2 linked regions of the Rattus norvegicus genome follow. The protein of the gene in region 1 interacts with the protein of each later gene in a pairwise test. Links are inferred from orthologs where the notes say so. Each region holds a gene or a part of one and is shown on either strand. Other genes may lie near its edges.

Evidence for each region.
Region 2: the proteins of Lmo2 (region 1) and Zfp24 interact in binary tests that used the Homo sapiens proteins (3 or more experiments, as listed by UniProt). The two-hybrid records come from large-scale screens. The link is inferred for Rattus norvegicus from reciprocal best matches to the Homo sapiens genes LMO2 and ZNF24.

What each region holds. Positions count from the first base shown.
Region 1 is NC_086021.1:110,819,927-110,824,255, reverse strand, and holds the start of Lmo2 (rhombotin-2), read right to left. Parts: upstream 2,804-4,329; 5' UTR 2,583-2,803; coding exon 2,576-2,582; intron 2,449-2,575; coding exon 2,229-2,448; intron 1-2,228. UniProt on the Homo sapiens protein: Acts with TAL1/SCL to regulate red blood cell development. Also acts with LDB1 to maintain erythroid precursors in an immature state.
Region 2 is NC_086036.1:15,579,151-15,583,759, forward strand, and holds the start of Zfp24 (zinc finger protein 24), read right to left. Parts: upstream 2,812-4,609; 5' UTR 2,740-2,811; intron 2,686-2,739; exon of another isoform or gene 2,265-2,685; intron 251-2,264; 5' UTR 171-250; coding exon 1-170. UniProt on the Homo sapiens protein: Transcription factor required for myelination of differentiated oligodendrocytes. Required for the conversion of oligodendrocytes from the premyelinating to the myelinating state.

The sequences.
Region 1 (4,329 bases):
TCGAGCAAGCACTCGGTGAGGCCGCTGGCAAGAGAGTGAGATACAGGAGAACGAGACATGCCGGTCTGAGGACAGATATGGACAGGACCAGACTCTGACTCAGTTTACCTTTCTATAATTAATGACATGCCATTCTCTCTGGTGAACAATTCAAGCCAAAGACTGAATGAGATTTACCTTAAGTTAATATTTGATATCCTTCTACCAGCCTGTCCTAAATAGGACACCTGAGTGTCCCTTTAGCTTTGATTTCTGGTAAAATTTCTCAAAAATTTCCCAGACAGAGGGGAAATGTTCCACAGACATTTCCCACAGGGCTTGCCCATCTTCAGTTACAGCCTTCCTTTTCTGGGCACATTCTGTAGGACGGATGAACTACTAGAGGACCTCATGAACTGGGTGCTCACTATTACAGCTGTGAGATACCTTTCAGGTTTCTAGTCTGGGGCAAAAAAGACACAAACTTTAGTCAGAGTGAACTTCCTTTACAGAACCCAATCCTCAGGCTGGAGAGAAGGCTTGGCAGTTAAGGATGTTTTCTGTTCTCCCAAAGGACCCAGGAGTCTCCACAAGCAAAACAGGTGAGTGCTAGTATCTGTGACTCCTGTTCTAGGAGACTCATCACCTCTAGCCTCCAGAGCACCTGCGCTCAGGTGCACACACACATCCATGCAGTTAGTATTTTTTTTTAAGGTACCAAACTCTGTAGACTCAATGTCTAATATAGGATTCATAGTGAAATTGTGCTGATAGGAAAGCAGTAAACACCAGTTCGCCAGACCCACTCCCTTACTGTGTAATCTTATGTCTCGTCCAATCTCTGAAAACTCGGGGCTCAGATGTAATTTTAAATGTATTTTTAAAAGGGAACAAGCTACAGACACCGACTCTTTTTTTTAAAGGGTTGTTGTTTTTCCTGAGATTTTAAGGAAGCTGGTCTTTATGTCAACAAACCTAGCTCCTTTCTGAGCTGTGTGTCTTAACCTTCAAGACTGAAGAGTGATGTTTATATTCTCGTTGGATCGTGGGACTTCCTGTATTTTATGAGAACACGCTGGGTTTTTATGCTGCTGACTGAGGGTAAAGCCCAGGTAAATAAACACCACACAAGACTGAAATTGAAGGGGGGGAGGCGAGTAGGAAAACTTCAGCAGGAAAGCACAATTCTTTTAAAGCAGGAAAAGAAAAGGAGGAAAAAACCCCACCAAAACAAATGCGTCTTAAAAGCCCAAATGGACAAGTCATTAACCAGCTCCTTTGGTCTTGTGTTAACAAATCCCTTCAAAGGATTAGATGAGGACTTCAAAGGAATAAAAACTCAAAACCAGACAGCTAATGATTCTTAAAAGGGCATTTGTGTGGACATGAAAAAAAAAAACCCAACAAAAAACAAAACAAAAAAAACCCCCAACACCTTCATTCTTGGCTCCCCTTGTTAAATCTAGAGAATGGGCTAGGGTACAGGCTGTGGAATGGGGGTGTTCTTTGCAAACCAGCGCAAAGCTCAGAGCATAAGACAGTACATACTCATACAACTCTTGGTTCGCTGACCCCAAGCCCTTCTGAAAGTTTGATGAGATTCTGTTCCCTAGGAAAACACACTGGAACAAAAAAAAAAAAAAAAAAGAACCAACTTTCGAGGTTCACATGCCCACAATAGGAGACTCATGGGAGGGGTGAACATGCACCCGGAGGAACTCCGGATTAGCAATTCTAGAAGTCTCTGGAGGCCAGAACCAGTCCCCAGATGGACAGGCGGACCTCATCGACTATCTGCTCTACTCCGGGCCTGGCAGTAGACTGTCAGAGACACCAGGGACGTTCTGGTTGGGATGCCCCTCTTTCCAAAGCCAAATAGACAAAAAGGAAGGGAATCTGGAGAGGGTGGGACGAAAGGGGAGAAGGCAGAATCTCGTCCTCCACTTTCCCTGCCCTGCACCTGTGCCTCGGAGCTCCGGGTGCCTGCTCCTGGGCAAACTTTCTGGCCCTTGTGAAGGTTTGGGGAGCTTTCTAGATAGCCCGGAGCGGTCCGCGGGGTTGATCCCAGTTTACAGCTTCCTCCAGTTCCGCCCAGCCCCTCTCGGTGTCTCCAGAGTCACCCGCGAGGAAAGAGAACCCCTGCGACACCGAGGGACCAAGGGCATGCTGCGGGCGCGCACCTGAAGTCAGCCCCTCGCGCCTTGCCTGGGACCCGGTGTGGGGTGCGGGGAGAGAAGCGCCACACTTACTCAGACGGGTCCAGGCTCTTCCTTTCGATGGCCGAGGACATTGGGGAGGGGGGAGGCGTGCCGGGCGGCGGGGGCGCTCCCTTTGTGGCGCGTGGCTGGCTAGCTGCCTGGACTCGGACCCCCTCGGGTGCTCGGGCGCCGCCGCTCCTGCGCCTCCTCTTGCTCGGTCGCTCGGCCGGCGAGCTCGCCCCTCCACGCTCAAGGACAGTCACCGCGCTCCCTTCAAACGCCAAAGAGAGAGAGCGAATCACCCAGCTGCCCCGCGCGCGGCGGCCGAGGCAGGGGGCCGGGGAGCAGCCCGGCCTCCCTCCGGCGGCTGCGACAGCTGCCGCTGCTCAAGACTTAACCTTCCATCCCGGTCCCGCTGCCGTCACCACAGCCGCCGCCGCCGCCGCCCGGTCCCGATCGCGCGCAGTCGCCGGCTCCGCCCGGCCGCCCCGAACCCCTCGCACCTTCGCTGGGGTCGGGGCGCCGAGGGCAGAGAGGGGGCGGCGGCCTGGGGGCGGGGAGCGGACCGCGCGGCTCTCCCGGGGCTCCCTCCTCTCTCGCGAAGGTCTATTTTCGCTCAGCTTCCCTCTGTCTCTGGTTTCATTTCCTTTTTCCTGATCACGATTCAAATACAATAGAAGGAAATCACATTTAAAGAGACAGCTGCCCGCCCCCTCCCCCTTTTTTTCTTCCTTTAAAAAAAAAAAAACGGGGCTCCTGGGGATTAGGAATCCAAACAGCAGCGGCGGCAGCAGCAGCAGCGGCGACGGCGGCAGCCCCGACTTGGCTTCTTAAAGGGACCCGTGGCAGAGACCGAGAGTCTTCCCTGAGCACCACTCCTGGGGCAAGAAGCCCGCTGCCACTAAACCGTCCTTTTCAGAGTTCCCCTTCTGCCCTTTCCCTTTGGTTTCAGGCTGAAAGTAACCACCTGGCGGTTCCAGCAGGAAAGAAATGCAAGCGTTGCTAGTGGCTGGCTAGCGAGCGCTCGTCTCGGGTTCGAGGTCCCAAGACCACGGTCGTGGTGCTCTACGAAGCCTGAGACAGTGCGGCTCTGCTGGCAGCAAGCTCGTAGCTGCGACTGCGCTCCAGAGAGGGGACGCAAGCTGTATGACCAGGGACCTCACGCGCTAGGTGCGCCTGAGCAGAGCTGGGGGCAGCTAATCCCGCAGGGAGGGTGGCTGGGAGGGACCACGTTGTCCGGGTCTCCTCTCCATCTGCTGGCGGCAGAATTCCCTCCCTCAGCATCTTTCAAAGAGCGAACTCCAGCGGTTAGGCTGGCCCTCTCTGCAAAGTATCAGCAATACTTGGACCGGAGGAAGTTCCTTGCCAATAATCAAGAACCTTACAGTTGTTACTTACTATTATTTTGCCCTATATAAAGCAAAGAAAAGGACAGGTTTCTCCTTCAGGCTTGAAGGCAAGTTCTAGAAGGACAAAGAAATGCAGAAGGGAAAGAAGAGGACTCTAGCTAGCTAGTTTTGCAGGGAGAAAAACCTAGGTTCTCCCGGGCCTCGAGTTCCTTGAAACTGAGTTCAGAAATGATCGTTCAAGTCCCGTTAGCTTATGATGAGGACAGTCTTCAGGTTTGTGAAGAGGAAAATTCCGAGTGCCTTCAGAATCCATCGTTAGTAAGAACAGCCTGGATCAAGGACGTAGGCATTTCAGTCCCATTTTAAAGACGGCTTTAATAGCCTGAAGATGATTGTTGAAGTCAGAACAGAAATCCTGGGTTCCTGGTACAGAGCAAAATCCTCACTGATTTCTCCTTAGCACTAACCTGAACCACACCCACAGATTCCTGTCATTTTCTTGCCTCCACGTCCTGAAATTTATACTGAAGGGGAATAATTAAAATCTGTGTCTGTGCGCATACCCTCGGGTTGGTCCAAAACCCACCTCCAGTATATAAAAAGACATTTTCCTATTTAAGTCCTTGTTCTTTAAATTAAGAAAACAAACATCTTTACAATGTCTACACAAGCCTAAATTATATGATAAATACATAACTTGTTATTCTGCTTTCATTTCTATCTGAAGTGAAAATAAACATTGTTTGTGGTAGCACAGGCCAGTAATCCCAGGAAGGGGCAGGAGCATTAGGAACTAATTCAAG
Region 2 (4,609 bases), on another chromosome or scaffold:
TGCCTGAACCGCTGCCGGAAAATCTCCGGGTCAGGGAGATGGTTCCAGGAAATGCTCGATCCTTCTTCACCGTCAGGATCCTCCTCTAGTTTCACTCTCAGAATTTTTTCTTCTTCATCTGGATTTGGGATGATAAGTATTGAATCTTCTTCCACTGACTGGGCAGACATCCTGTTACAATACCTCCAAGAAAAGGCAACTGAGGCAAGGTACAGACCTCAGAAATACCCTGTTTTCCTCAAAAGTACTCCTAAGGTACAAGAAATAAAAAACACATAAATCACCAAGTACCCCATGATATTCGAAAAGCAGAAGGAAAAAAAAAGAGATACATTGCTTTACTTGATTAAAACTTGAAATCAATAACTTACACTGACTGAAAGTCTGCCATAGCTGGTAAACCACAGCCTATTTACCCTGCTGCCTGCTACACCATCCGTAGAGAAGTAGTGTAAACGTTTTAATGACTAAAAAAGTACAGAAATACTTCATGCTGAGAAAATATGATGTGTCTGTCTAGGACCAGCAAGGTTACTCATCTGGCAAAGGCCTGATGACTTGAGTCCAATGACCAACATGTACATAAGAGAAAAATTATTTCTGCAAGTCTGGTCTTCACAAGTGGGACAGACAGACACACACACAGAGACAGACAGACAAACACACACACAAGATGTAAAAATGTCTTTAAAAATGGTTTATGTACACTGTTTTTGCTTGCATGTATGTCTGTGTGAGGATGTCAGACCCCTTAGAACTGGAGTTAGAGACAGTTGTGAGCTGCCATGTGGGTGCTGGGAATTGAACTTGGGTCCTCTGGAAGAGCAGCCAGTGCTCTTAACCACTGAGCCATCTCTCCAGCCCCATTAATATGTTTACATTTTGTGTATATAAGTCATTAAATTTAATCGTGGTTTGGGCTATAATGTGGTAGAGTTGACAGTATTCAATGATTTCAGCTAAGATCTAAAACAATGTAATATTTACCAGCTTGCTCTTTTTAGGAAAAAAAAAAGATTGCTAATTTGTGACATATAGTCTACAAAGGGTAATTTAATAGCCTACAGTATCTGGGTAAGATGCAGTCTACCTCAGTGTTCTCCAAACGTCCTGAAGCTTGGGACTGGAGAGTTGGTTCAGCAGTTAAGAATGCATTCCCCTGCAGTGGACCCTGGTTTGTTTCCCTGAACCACAAACTCCTCTCTCTTCTCACCTCCTCAGGCACCAGGCAAACACACAGTGCAAATATACATAAAATAACAAACTAAGTATTCAGAACAGTAGGACACATAAAACATGTTTTTTGACATTTATTTCGTGTTGGAACACATCAGCACAGGTGTGGAGGTCAGGGGACATTAGTTCCCTCCTGCTATGTGCAATCTGGGATCTTGGGAACAAGCCCCCGACCTGATGAGGCACCCTACTTTTCATTTTTTGCAAACCTGGAGTAGGAAATAGATCAACCGTTCTCCCAGTTAGAATCCCCCAGAATGAGAGACTATCCTTACCCATCATGCTCTACTGCTGAGCTAATCCCCAGAATTGTCACAAATACTCTAATGTTTGTTTAGGAACTCCCTAAACTTAAAATATATGCGAAAAATGTTCACTAGTAGATAGGTATGCGCCCAAAAGCCCAACATTGTAGGCTTTACATGCAGAAGCAAGATTATGGTCATCCATGTGGCAAAGCCAACCTGGGCTATTAGATCTTGTCACAGACTTTCTTTTACACAGTTCAGTAACAGATCATATAACACTGGGGAAGGAACTATTTCACATAACATACAAATGTTACTCAGGCTTCCACCACACCATACATACATTTAAACTTACAGTGACAAGCTTCAACCACAGCAAATTCTATTAGGAAAAAGCACTCACAACTTCTCAGTGTACGGGAGTCTTTTCCCTGATGAAGCTTCCCCTAACTTTTCCTTTGGGGAAATCTGAGCTACTTTCTGATGCTTTTGGAATTTGCAAAATCATAGCCGTGCCACGGTTTACAGCACATAAAGAATAATAAGTTTACGGCTACTGTTTATTAGAGCCAAGAACTTAAGAGACAGAAACTTAAGAAAACCATATTGAAACCGATCAAGATGAAGACAAAAGATCAGAAAAGGCTGTCTCAAACTGACAGGTCATATAGACACTCAGGAGTGGGATGGCCTGATATCAAAATCTAAGTTCTTATTCCTGGACCCGATTCTATCAGCAATCAAGCATTTCTATGTGATAGAAACTGCTTTTTCTTTTACTTTGTACTGCACCAAGCTCGTGGGATGTGGAGGAACGCCGTCCGGCACTCGGCGGGATCCTGGTCTTCAGCGACCGCCCGCCTCACAGCGCTGAGCCCAGCCTGCCCCAGCAACTCGGACGTCCTCTTCCCAGCATTCACCAGGAAGGGCTGCAGAAGCCCCAGAACCACCCCGCCACACAGGACAGGCACTTCCGCCCGGGACCGGCGGGACTACAAATCCCAGCAGGTCGCGCGCGAGAACGGCCGGATCCCCCCTCGGCTTGAGCGTCTCCCAGAATCCTCCGCGAGCCGCTAGAGCCTCGAAATAGAACAAAACCGGCCCGTGGGGGAGGGGAAAGCAGGCCGGAGAGGATGCGGGCGCTGGAGGCTCTGCGGACCCCCGAAGTGCCGCAGGTCGCCGCCGCCCTTCCGCCGCCGCGGCCTTTTATGCGCACGCCCGGAATGCTGAGCGTCGCCGGCCTCTGGACCCTTACCTGAGCCCCCGCCTCCTCGAACCCTACCCCCGCGCGCTGCTGACCTCTGGCTCGGGACCCGCCACAGCCTCGTCGTCCCGGGCAGACGCTGCGCCGCCGCTTTCAGCCGCTTCCCACAAGCCCCCGGCGCGCACGGCTTCCGGTCCGCAGGACGGGGGGGGGGGCGGGAGGGAATGGGGAAGCCGAAGCCCGGAGTTGCCATGGGGACGCGCGGTGAGCGGGGGAGGTGCCGCTTGATGACAATGGCCGCATTGAGGCTGCGCTTGGCCTTGCGCCTCTCACTGAGTGACTGTTGCTCTCTGTTCCACTTTAGAGAAAGGAAAGGGGAGCAGGAGGAACGTGGGCGGCAGTTTCACAAGTGCCCGGTGCTCCTCGCCGGAGCCCTCTGGAGTAACTAGCTTACTCCAGAGTTCTGAAACGTTCTGAAAACGTGCCATGATCGTGTCAGGCACCGTCGCTGTACAATACGTGTAAATCGTTTTTCTTTACCCGCACATCTTTACTTATTGAGCCTTTGGCCCTGAAACAAGGTTTGCCTCTAAACATGCCCCAAACCATTGTCTTCCACTACTGTGTTTCAAAGATTATGACAGATTATCAAAGAAACAAGATAGTTGAGACCTTTGTCACAGAGAATTGCAGAATATACTCATGCTGGTTGTTTGATGCCAAAAAAAGAGCTGCAGTCATAATCACTTAGATTGCCTCATTTCCCTATTTAAAGTGGATTTCAGCTACCTCAACTACCTTGACATTAAATAATTGTTACGTTGTTCTGTAGGCCATCTCTGGTCTGTTGCCTGCCTTTGCCTTCTGACCATGCGTGACTTGGACTTATTGTACAGCCTCAGCCTCACTGACCAATGAACGCCCTTTCCTCCAGGTGGCCTCAAGATGCTTGTGGACACTCTGAGAAGTGATCGCATTACTTAGCTGTGCTTTGTTTGAAAGTCTTGTAAAAAGTTGGGTCCTCCCTGTCCCTAGTTTCAGGATGCTGGCTGGTACATAGAAAACTCAGTAAGCACACTTTGAATAAATGCATCAATTGTGGGCTGGTCACATTGCCTGCGGCCTTTGCTAGGTCACATGTCAAGTCTCGGAAATCGCACAAAAGAGCTCTGTTTTGGAAAAAGTCTTGTTAGAAGCAAAGGTCAAGTTTGCAGAACACTTAAAGGATCCTCAAGCCTTGCCCTATTGTCTCATTCAGAAGGGCCTCTGCAAAGTGTCCTGGGCCTCTGCAAAGTGTCCTCGGCCTCTGCTTGTTAGTGAATGAGAGAGCAGTAAACAAGCAGCTCACAGAATAGCAAGACTTCCCATTCCAGCCAGAGCTCACCTTCCCACAACCCCTGTAACTTTTCACTCTTCACTGTGAGGTTTTAGTACAGCCTTCCCCCATCTCCTGTTTGGCTGTAGACAGGATCCGGCTTGGCTGTTCTCTGCAACCTTTTTGTCTATTGTGATTCCGAAGAGCTAACTCAAAGCATACTTTGTTTTGTTTCTTTAAGAGATTTTATAGCAAGTTAATACTGAAAAACATAATAAACCCACTCAAGTAAAAAATGTGACATTTTGTAATTTGCTTTGCCTTTTGATCCATTCTCAGTTAATTTTAAAGTAGTGAATGGGAAGGAACCATAGTGGGAATTTCCTTATGACATTACTTCTTTGCATGCACCCAGTTTGGAAAACTGTCATTTCAAGCCCTTTTTTCCAGAATGGTAACCCTCACTGTCTTCTTAAAAGTCTAGGCAACCTGGAGCTTGGAGCTGGAGAGACTGTCGGTTAAGAACTTGGTCTGCTGTTTAATAGCCCATATCTGCTTTCCAGCTCACAACCACCTGCCCTACAGCTCCAGGGGGTCCAACAACCT